2 linked regions of the Callithrix jacchus genome follow. The protein of the gene in region 1 purifies or fractionates together with the protein of each later gene. This does not show direct contact. Links are inferred from orthologs where the notes say so. Each region holds a gene or a part of one and is shown in the gene's direction. Other genes may lie near its edges. The genes, in order: RAB35 and GDI1.

The links.
Region 2: the proteins of RAB35 (region 1) and GDI1 purify together in Homo sapiens (affinity purification with mass spectrometry; 3 studies listed by BioGRID and IntAct, counting the BioPlex papers as one, with this or other methods). This does not show direct contact. The link is inferred for Callithrix jacchus from reciprocal best matches to the Homo sapiens genes RAB35 and GDI1.

The regions. Positions count from the first base shown.
Region 1 is NC_133510.1:123,230,371-123,234,166, reverse strand, and holds part of RAB35 (ras-related protein Rab-35), read left to right. Parts: intron 1-211; coding exon 212-335; intron 336-3,796. UniProt on the Homo sapiens protein: The small GTPases Rab are key regulators of intracellular membrane trafficking, from the formation of transport vesicles to their fusion with membranes.
Region 2 is NC_133524.1:150,231,610-150,236,108, forward strand, and holds the start of GDI1 (rab GDP dissociation inhibitor alpha), read left to right. Parts: upstream 1-1,482; 5' UTR 1,483-1,565; coding exon 1,566-1,610; intron 1,611-2,820; coding exon 2,821-2,928; intron 2,929-3,053; coding exon 3,054-3,153; intron 3,154-3,262; coding exon 3,263-3,397; intron 3,398-3,883; coding exon 3,884-4,082; intron 4,083-4,340; coding exon 4,341-4,472; intron 4,473-4,499. Other genes in the region: ATP6AP1 (V-type proton ATPase subunit S1), read left to right, coding at 92-301. UniProt on the Homo sapiens protein: Regulates the GDP/GTP exchange reaction of most Rab proteins by inhibiting the dissociation of GDP from them, and the subsequent binding of GTP to them. Promotes the dissociation of GDP-bound Rab proteins from the membrane and inhibits their activation.

The DNA.
Region 1 (3,796 bases):
TTTCCTTGCATCCTGCCTCCCTCCTTCACTTTACTTGTGGGTGGAGGGGCCTCGTTCCTTGTTCAGGGCTGTGTCCCTGGGGCCTAGAATGTGCCAGGCACATGTAATGAGCTGGGGGTGGGGGAGCCTGGGGGTGTGTCGTGTGCAGTGTGGGGCTGGGGGCCTGTCGGGAGATGTGGGTTGGGCCTCGTTAACTGCCGTGTGTGTGCAGGCAGCTATATCACCACGATCGGAGTGGATTTCAAGATCCGGACCGTGGAGATCAATGGGGAGAAGGTGAAGCTGCAGATCTGGGACACGGCGGGGCAGGAGCGCTTCCGCACCATCACCTCGACGTGAGTCCACGCCCACTCCCACTCAGCCCGAACCACTGACCTGTGGAAACGGTTGAGCAACCGGTGCCTGGTCATGGTGGAAATGTCACCAATGGGCCCCCGAGGCTGTTGGGAAGTGAGCCTGTTGTCAGCTCTAGTGTGTGCTGTTTGGCTGCAGCCTTCCTGGTCCTGAAGGTGTGAGGGGATGGGGAGGTGACTGCTGGTGGGGGTGGTGGGTGGTGCTGAGCACTGTGGTGGAGTCTGGCCAGACAGTGGCCATGGGCTGTCCCCTTGGAGAGTCAGCCGGCCCTTCAGCCTGCCACACTGTCACCTTACAGAGGGAGCAGTGTAGTGTTTGCCTTGCTGGGGGTTGTGACGTGCCCTGCCCACCCAGGACTTAGTCACTGGCAATTCCTCTTGGTAGGTGTCAGTTGTGGAAGCTAGAGTTGGCCTGGGCAGGCCCTATCACCCGCCTTGGAGGTAGAGCTGTCTAGAGGGGACACTGTTGTGTGTCATTAGGCCCTTCCCTACCCTTAAAGCTGTTTCCTGGGAAATCCAGCTGCCCACGGGTTGCCACCTTTGTGGCTGAGCTGCAGGCCAGAAGGAAACGGCTCCAGCACAGATGGGAGTGTCCTTTGGAGTGGCTCCCACTGGGTTAGTGGAGCAGGTTTTAGGAAGGAGCAGGGTCTGAAGAGGATTTGGGGCTGTTGGACTGTGTGTCCTGAGGCAAGTTGCCTAGGCTTTCTGTGCTGGCTTCCATGTGGAGGGGGCCAAGTGCTCTGGCGAGGGCGTCAACATGAGTGGCTGGGTTGTGCTGTCTAGCAGCTCTGTGTGCTTGGAGCTGCTGTCATCCCATTTTACAGAGAGCACCCTGGAGGGGTCCCTCCCAGTGCCCGAGCCTGCGCTCCACACAGCGGCCTGTGCAGAGTCAGGGGCAGCTATCTGGCTCCACGGGCACCTCCTCGGCTCTCTCGAGCAGCAGCTCTAGAATTGGCCTCAGGAAGGCGGATGAAGAAGTCCCGGCCAGCGGCCCCCTTCCTCCCTGCAGTGTGAAAGCTGGGTGCACCCCATGCTGGCAGCCCACCCCTGGCCCTTCGGCATCTCCCGAGGTGGGAAGTGTGGGGTGCACTGCTCCCATGGGTGGCTGGGAGTGTTGGGGAGAGTAGGGCCGCTGAAGGAGGGACAGGTGCACTGGGCGGGCAGCTCGGGGCTGGAGCCAGGGCAGAAGGCTTGTCACTGGGCTCACCCTGCACTGAGCACACAGCACACGTGTGCTGCAGCCCGTGGTGCCCAAATCCCTGGGAGCTCACAGTCCCAGGGTCGCTGGGTACAGCCTGTGTGGTGATGGTTGATGAGCCTGTGAGCAGGGGCTCTGTGGCCTGCATGTCTTGGCAGCTGCCATTGAGGATCTGCAGAGGACGCTGGGGCAGGGCTGGCATCAGTGCTTTGGGCAGCCTGGGGCTGCAGGCCCAGGCAAGACAAGCCCCTATGCTAGGTTCAGCTGGTCTGGGCTCTGACCTTGCTCTGTCGCTAGGATTTCACCTGCTTTATTTCGGTTAATCCTGGTGGAGAGGACTGTGACTATCTCCATTTTATGGACAGGAAAACAAGCCCAGGGAGGATGAAGCCTCCTAACTTGGGGGGCAGGAGTGAGGGGTGCTCAGGGTTGGCGCTGAGGCTGCCGAGGCCCTCCTCCGCTGGGCAGGTGGTGCCCCTGCTTTCCTGCCCCATCCTGCGCTTTAAAACCAGGCAGAGGTTTGGGGCAGCAGAGGTTGGGAGGCCCGTGGCCATGAGGAATGAATCCCCAGGGAGGGCGGTGGGGCCTGGGGGGCCTGAGGCTCTTTCACCAGGAGGAGCCACAGCCCCTCCCTGCCACCATGAAGTCACCTGCTTTTCGGGCTGGGCAGGGCAGGAAGAGGGTGAACTGGTTCCTCCATTCCGTGGGGAGCTGGGAAGAGTTACTCGGCTTCCTGGGAGCAGCATGGGATTTTCCCAGGGGGCTTGGGAAGGGGTGGCCTGTGGGCAGTGGCTGGACTCCTGCTGCCATCCTGACTGTCTGGGAAAGCAGAGTGGTAGCTCTGTCTTAAGAGTCCTGCTCTGGCCCTCACGAGGCAGGAGGCCCTGAAGGGCGCACGGGAAGTCTCGATGCCCTGTGATGGTCACTGGCAAAGAAGGAAGGAGTTTTGGGGAAGTCAGTTTTCAGAGTTTTCGGGAATGGGACAATCAGGATACAGTAGTGTGATTTTCTGATGCAGGGCATTAAAAGAGAAACTGAAACTGTCCTGTTAGCCTGGCGGGAAAGAGCCCTGTGGTCACCCCCTCTTGGGTTCTTGCTCTCAGAAGCTGAGGTTTGCCGGCGCTGAGAGGTGTGGGTGGGGTGGAGGTGAGGGGAGAAGTGAGAAGGAAAGCTGGGTCTGGGAGTCAGATCTGGCTGCTGCACTCAGCCTCGGGTCCTTGAGGGTCACATGGCCATCCTGAGGTCTCCTGGATCAGGTGGCTGCAGAGATTAGTAAGGTAATGGATACCAAGCCCCCTGGCTCGGAGCCTGGCCTAGAGCAGAGTCCCGGTGAGTGAAAGCGATTCCTGGTGGCCATGGGAAGCTTCAGTGCTCCGGACCTTCCTAGCCAGAGCTCTGAGCCCCTGACTTCATCTGCAGATGAATTCTCTGCTCTCAGATAAAGCCCCTTTTCTGGGCCTCAGATGAGGTGGAGGTGCTCAGGGAACTGCTGGGGCTCTGCGCCAGGGCCAGGGCTGTAGGTGTCCCTTGGCCTCTCTGATCATCTTCAGCAAAGGAGAGTCTGCAGAGCCATCCACTCCTTGCGCTTCCTCTGCTCTTCCTGCGGCTCCAGCGCGCCCTCACTCTGGAAGGCATCGCCATGCCATTCCGTGTGCTGAGCCGACTGCTTTCCGCCGCTGCTGCCAAGGCCAGAGCTGGTTCTTGGGCCCAGTGCCAAGACAACTTGATTGTCATAGCTCCCCCAAAGCCAAGAAGCAATGTTGTCCTGGAAGCAAAGCTGCGGCAGAATGAAGCCCTGGGAGGAGATCCCAGCAGCGGTGTTGAGGGTGGAGCCAGAATGGGGCAGGGGCAGGGGCAGGTTGGGCTTTGCCCCAGGGCTGGGCAGGGTGGAGGTACTTACAGCTGGAGCAGTTGGCAGCCAGAAGGCTGGGAGGAAGTAGCTTGTCCACTCGTGGTTTGTGTGGTGTCCTGAGGAGCCTCAGGGAGGAGGTCCCTGCGGCTCTAGGGAGAGCAGGAGTGGGGGCTCTGGCTGATTGCACAGTTCAAGGCAGGGTTGCTCTCTGGCCTCCAGCCCTGCGACAGAGGGAAGTGGAGGCTATGGTTCTGTCTGCCTCTGGGGATTGATGTCTTTCTGTACCGTTCGGATGAATGGGGAGATGGGGTCTGGAGAGGAGAGTTTGATGCAGACCTCCTGGCTGGCCCTGGGGTCTGCATGTGTGGGTGGTGGCTTTGCTGGCCCCTCTCC
Region 2 (4,499 bases), on another chromosome or scaffold:
CAAGGAGAGGCCCAAAGAGTCACAGAATTGCTTGGGCACAGGCTCGGGCCTCCCGACGGTCCTTTCTGACCCCTGTCTGTGTGTCTGCCAGATCCAAGCTTTCAATGTGATGGGCGAGCAGTTCTCCTATGCCAGCGACTGCGCCGGCTTCTTCTCCCCCGGCATATGGATGGGGCTGCTCACCTCCCTCTTCATGCTCTTCATCTTCACCTATGGCCTGCACATGATCCTCAGCCTCAAGACCATGGATCGCTTTGATGACCACAAGGGCCCCACCATTTCTTTGACCCAGATTGTGTGACCCTGTGCCAGGAGGGGGTTGAGGGTGGGACAGTGTCCCTCTTCCTACCACAGCATGAACCCCAAGCTCCCTTTAGCCCATCTTGCTCCCCGTTCAGCCCACTAAGGAGATTTCCTGGGGCTGCCCCCATCCCTACCAACAAGGTGTACATAATTCTGCGTAGATGCTAGACCAATGTCCCAGGCTCAGCCGCGGTGAGGCGTAAGGGACATGAATTCTAGGGTCCCCTTTCTCCTTATTTATTGTGTCTACATCATCCCTGGCTGTGGATAGTGCTTTTATGTAGCAAATGCTCTCTCCTTAAGGTTATGGGGCTCCCTGAGTTTGGGGGTGTGGAGGTACTACTTAACTGTCTGACCTGCTTTGCTGTCGTTATTGTTTTCTGGTGATGCTGTGCTAATGATAAGCAGTACACTGGGGTTTATTTCTGTGGCCTGAGAAGGAAGGGACCTCCACCCCAGGTGGGCTGGGTGCAATCTCCAGCTGTCTGGCATGTTCCCATCGGGAGTGCCTGGCAGGAGCCTGGCGTGCTCGGTTGTTTCCTTCCTAATAAACGCGGATCGCCACGATTTGGGCCTCTTGTAGGTCATTTCTGCACTGGGCTTTAGGTGCGTGCTCGCTGGAGGGATGCGGGAGGATGGAGCCCGGTGAGGAAGAGGTGAGGAAGCATCCGCGGAGACCTGGAGGGGCTTTAGCAGGGTGGGCCCTAACCACTTAGGGCAGGAAGGGGCGGTCGGGCCGAGTCCCGTTACGCTTTGGCGACTCGGGAGGCCGTCGTGACAATGGCAGCCTTCGTATCATGAGGGGGCTGCCCCGGCTGCCGCAGCGGCGCGCACCCGGCCGCGGGACCGCGCCGAGCCTCCCGCGGGGCTGGGCGGGCGCGCGCGGGGCGGGGCGGGGCGGGGAGGATGGGGCGGGGCGCGCGCGGCTCCGCGCACGGATCCTTTCCTAGCCGCAGTACCGGCCGCCAGCCCGCCCCGCCCGCCCCGCCCCGCGCCTCTCTGGACCCTCGGCGAGCAGCGTCGTCCTCGGAGCCGCGCTGGTGCTGTGGCCCGGGCCCTAGCAGGTCTCCTGGGAGGCGAGCTGGGGAAACGGTGGATCTGGCCGGGCGCGGCGGGGCTCGAGAATAGGCGGGACTCTTTGACGAGGCGGAGGGGTCAGGCGGCGACCGAAACGCCGCCATCTTTGGTCCAGTGCTGCGGCGGCGGCGGCGGCGGTGAAGGAGGAGGAGGAGCCGAGCGGGCACTGGCACCGAGGCCTGACCATGGACGAGGAATACGATGTGATCGTGCTGGGGACCGGCCTCACCGTAAGTGCGGCCCCAGGCGCTCTTGGCCCCGTGTCTTGCCCTCGCCACCCCCCGCGATGATGTGGCCGCCGGCCCACCCTCCGGTCACTGCCATCTGATGCGCTCGGCTCTCCAAAAAGCCGGCACCGTGCCCACCCCGCCGCTCCCCGCGCCGCTCCCCCCGCGACGTCGCCTCTGCTTTTTGCTATGACCCCATCTTCCCGAAGGGGCCCCCTTCCTGGCTGCCCGGGTCTGACCCCCGGCACCCTCCCATCTTTCCTACCCCTGTGCCTGCTGGGCCGGAAAATGCACCCCAGCTAAGCCCGGTGCCCCGACCCCGCCCACCCATCGCCCCCACCCATCACGGAATCTCCCCCCCTCCCGCAGGTTGCCCGCACCCATCGCCCGCTTAGCGTCCCTTCCCATCTTGCGCTAATCCCGGTAGGGACAGGGACATGGGGTCAGGGGGCCTCCTCAGGGTGGGCCCTCAGCCCACCTCCTCGTCTTCTGGGGCCAGGGGATCCAGGGAATGTTCCAGAAGGAGCAGCGGTGGGGGCAGTAAGCACATTCCCTCAACCCCACCCCGGTTGCCTATGGAGACCTCAGGCTGAGTAGCATCTGCAGCCTTTGTCCTTGGGCTAGTGACAGTGACGGGTGAGGGTATTTATCTTCCCCTTTTCCCCAAAAACCCCGTTGGCCCGCTCCCCAGAGAGACTCTTCTTTCTCAGTCCAAGCCCAGATGCCCCTCATCAGCAGCAGGGTCTCCCGCCATTTGAAGAAAGATCAGTCCAGGGTGGGGCCTACAATTTCAAGGACTGCGCTAAGCCTTTCTTCACCTCCCTTTCGAGTGTCCTTCGCAGTCCAGCTAGGTCTCGTCTGCGCCTCATTGTGTTTTAACAGCCTTTCTGTGCAGCTCTGCGTAGATACATGTCCATTGGCTTGTGGGTACTGGAAGGCCATCCTGTGTCTGCTGGATGCCCTGCCTCTCTCAGAGCCTCCATTATTTCACTGCCTACCTTGTGAGGGGGATGGGACTCCTTTGCCCAGCAAGGTTACAAAGGAGACGGTGGTCAGATGAAGCTGTCACCCCAATTTTAGGCGAGGCAACTAGCTGGTTTGAGGGGGTGGAAGGAGCTGTCCACTGGATCAGGTTTGGGTGGGGAACAAATCAGGGCTGCTGGTAGGAAGGGAGGCAGGTAGGAGTGAGAGGATGGTATTGCCCTCCCTCCAGGAATGCATCCTGTCGGGCATCATGTCTGTGAACGGGAAGAAGGTGCTGCACATGGACCGGAACCCCTACTATGGGGGTGAGAGCTCCTCCATCACACCCCTGGAGGAGGTGAGACATCTGGGCCCAGGCCCATCCCTGTTCACCTCCCACGTAGCGGCACAGGGTAGAAGAAGCTCCCCAGGTGCCTGGAGCAGGAGGAGATGGTCCCTGAGGTGTCTCTCTTCTGCTTACAGCTGTATAAGCGTTTTCAGTTGCTGGAGGGGCCCCCTGAGTCGATGGGCCGAGGCCGAGACTGGAACGTTGACCTCATTCCCAAATTCCTCATGGCTAACGGTGAGGGACAGGAAGGACATATTGCAGGTCGGGGTGATGGGGAGGTGCAGCCAGACCAGCAGAGACTCTGGAGAGAGCAGTGCCGATGTTGCCCCATGCACACCCACAGGGCAGCTGGTAAAGATGCTACTGTATACAGAGGTGACTCGCTATCTGGACTTCAAGGTGGTGGAGGGCAGCTTTGTCTACAAGGGGGGCAAGATCTACAAAGTACCGTCCACTGAGACTGAGGCCTTGGCTTCCAGTGAGTGTGGGCCCCCTGAGCCAGAGAATCATGGGGTGGCAGGGAAGTTGACTGTCCTTGGGATGGGTGGCTGTCCAGAGTAAGGCACCCCCTTGTCCAAAGTCACATTCCCCATGAAGAACCAGAGGCCCTTCACTCTGTATCCTCTCTGCCCCATGCCATGCCTCACGGATGGCTGCCAGGAGAGAGGCCTACACGCAGCAGGGATGTGACGTGGAGGAGGACAGGGCTCCTTTGGAAAGACTTGACCTTTTGGCAGGGGCTCCACTGGATCCCCGAGACATCCCCAAATGTCCGAGCAAGGAAGGCCCTTAGAGCCATCCAGGCCAGTCCCCTCTTCATAGAGGCAGGGAAACCGAGGCTGAAAAGAGCGGAGGGGTTGAGCTAAGGTCCCACAACAGCTACACTGGGAGTGGGGCCCTGCCCTTTGGGAAGGAGAGTTTTGTGCTGCGCTGGTGCAGAACCTCGTCCTGCCGCCTGCCTTAGATCTGATGGGCATGTTTGAGAAACGGCGCTTCCGCAAGTTCCTGGTGTTTGTGGCAAACTTCGATGAGAATGACCCCAAGACCTTTGAGGGTGTTGACCCTCAGACTACCAGCATGCGTGATGTCTACCGAAAGTTTGATCTGGGCCAGGATGTCATCGATTTCACTGGCCACGCCCTGGCGCTCTACCGCACTGATGAGTGAGGGAAGCTGGTGTGGCGGCAGCCCCCTCGCCCGGCCTGCCTCCTCCCTCCCCACACCTGCCTGCTGTTCCCCTGCCCCGCATGTCTCTTGTACTCAGCCATAGGCTCACCTATCACCCTTTCCATTTCCCCCTTGCATTTGATCTTCATGTTCCCTAGGCCATTCAGGGTGGTGGGAAGACTGGCCTGGTACCTGGGTGGTGGTGAGTCAAGGGTGCTGCTATTGGAGCATCTTCCCTTACCCCTGTCCCCCAGCTACTTGGACCAGCCCTGTCTTGAGACCATCAACCGCATCAAGTTGTACAGTGAGTCCCTGGCCCGGTATGGCAAGAGCCCGTATTTATACCCGCTTTACGGCCTGGGTGAGCTGCCTCAGGGTTTTGCAAGGTGAGGACGTGGGTTTTTTCAGTTGGC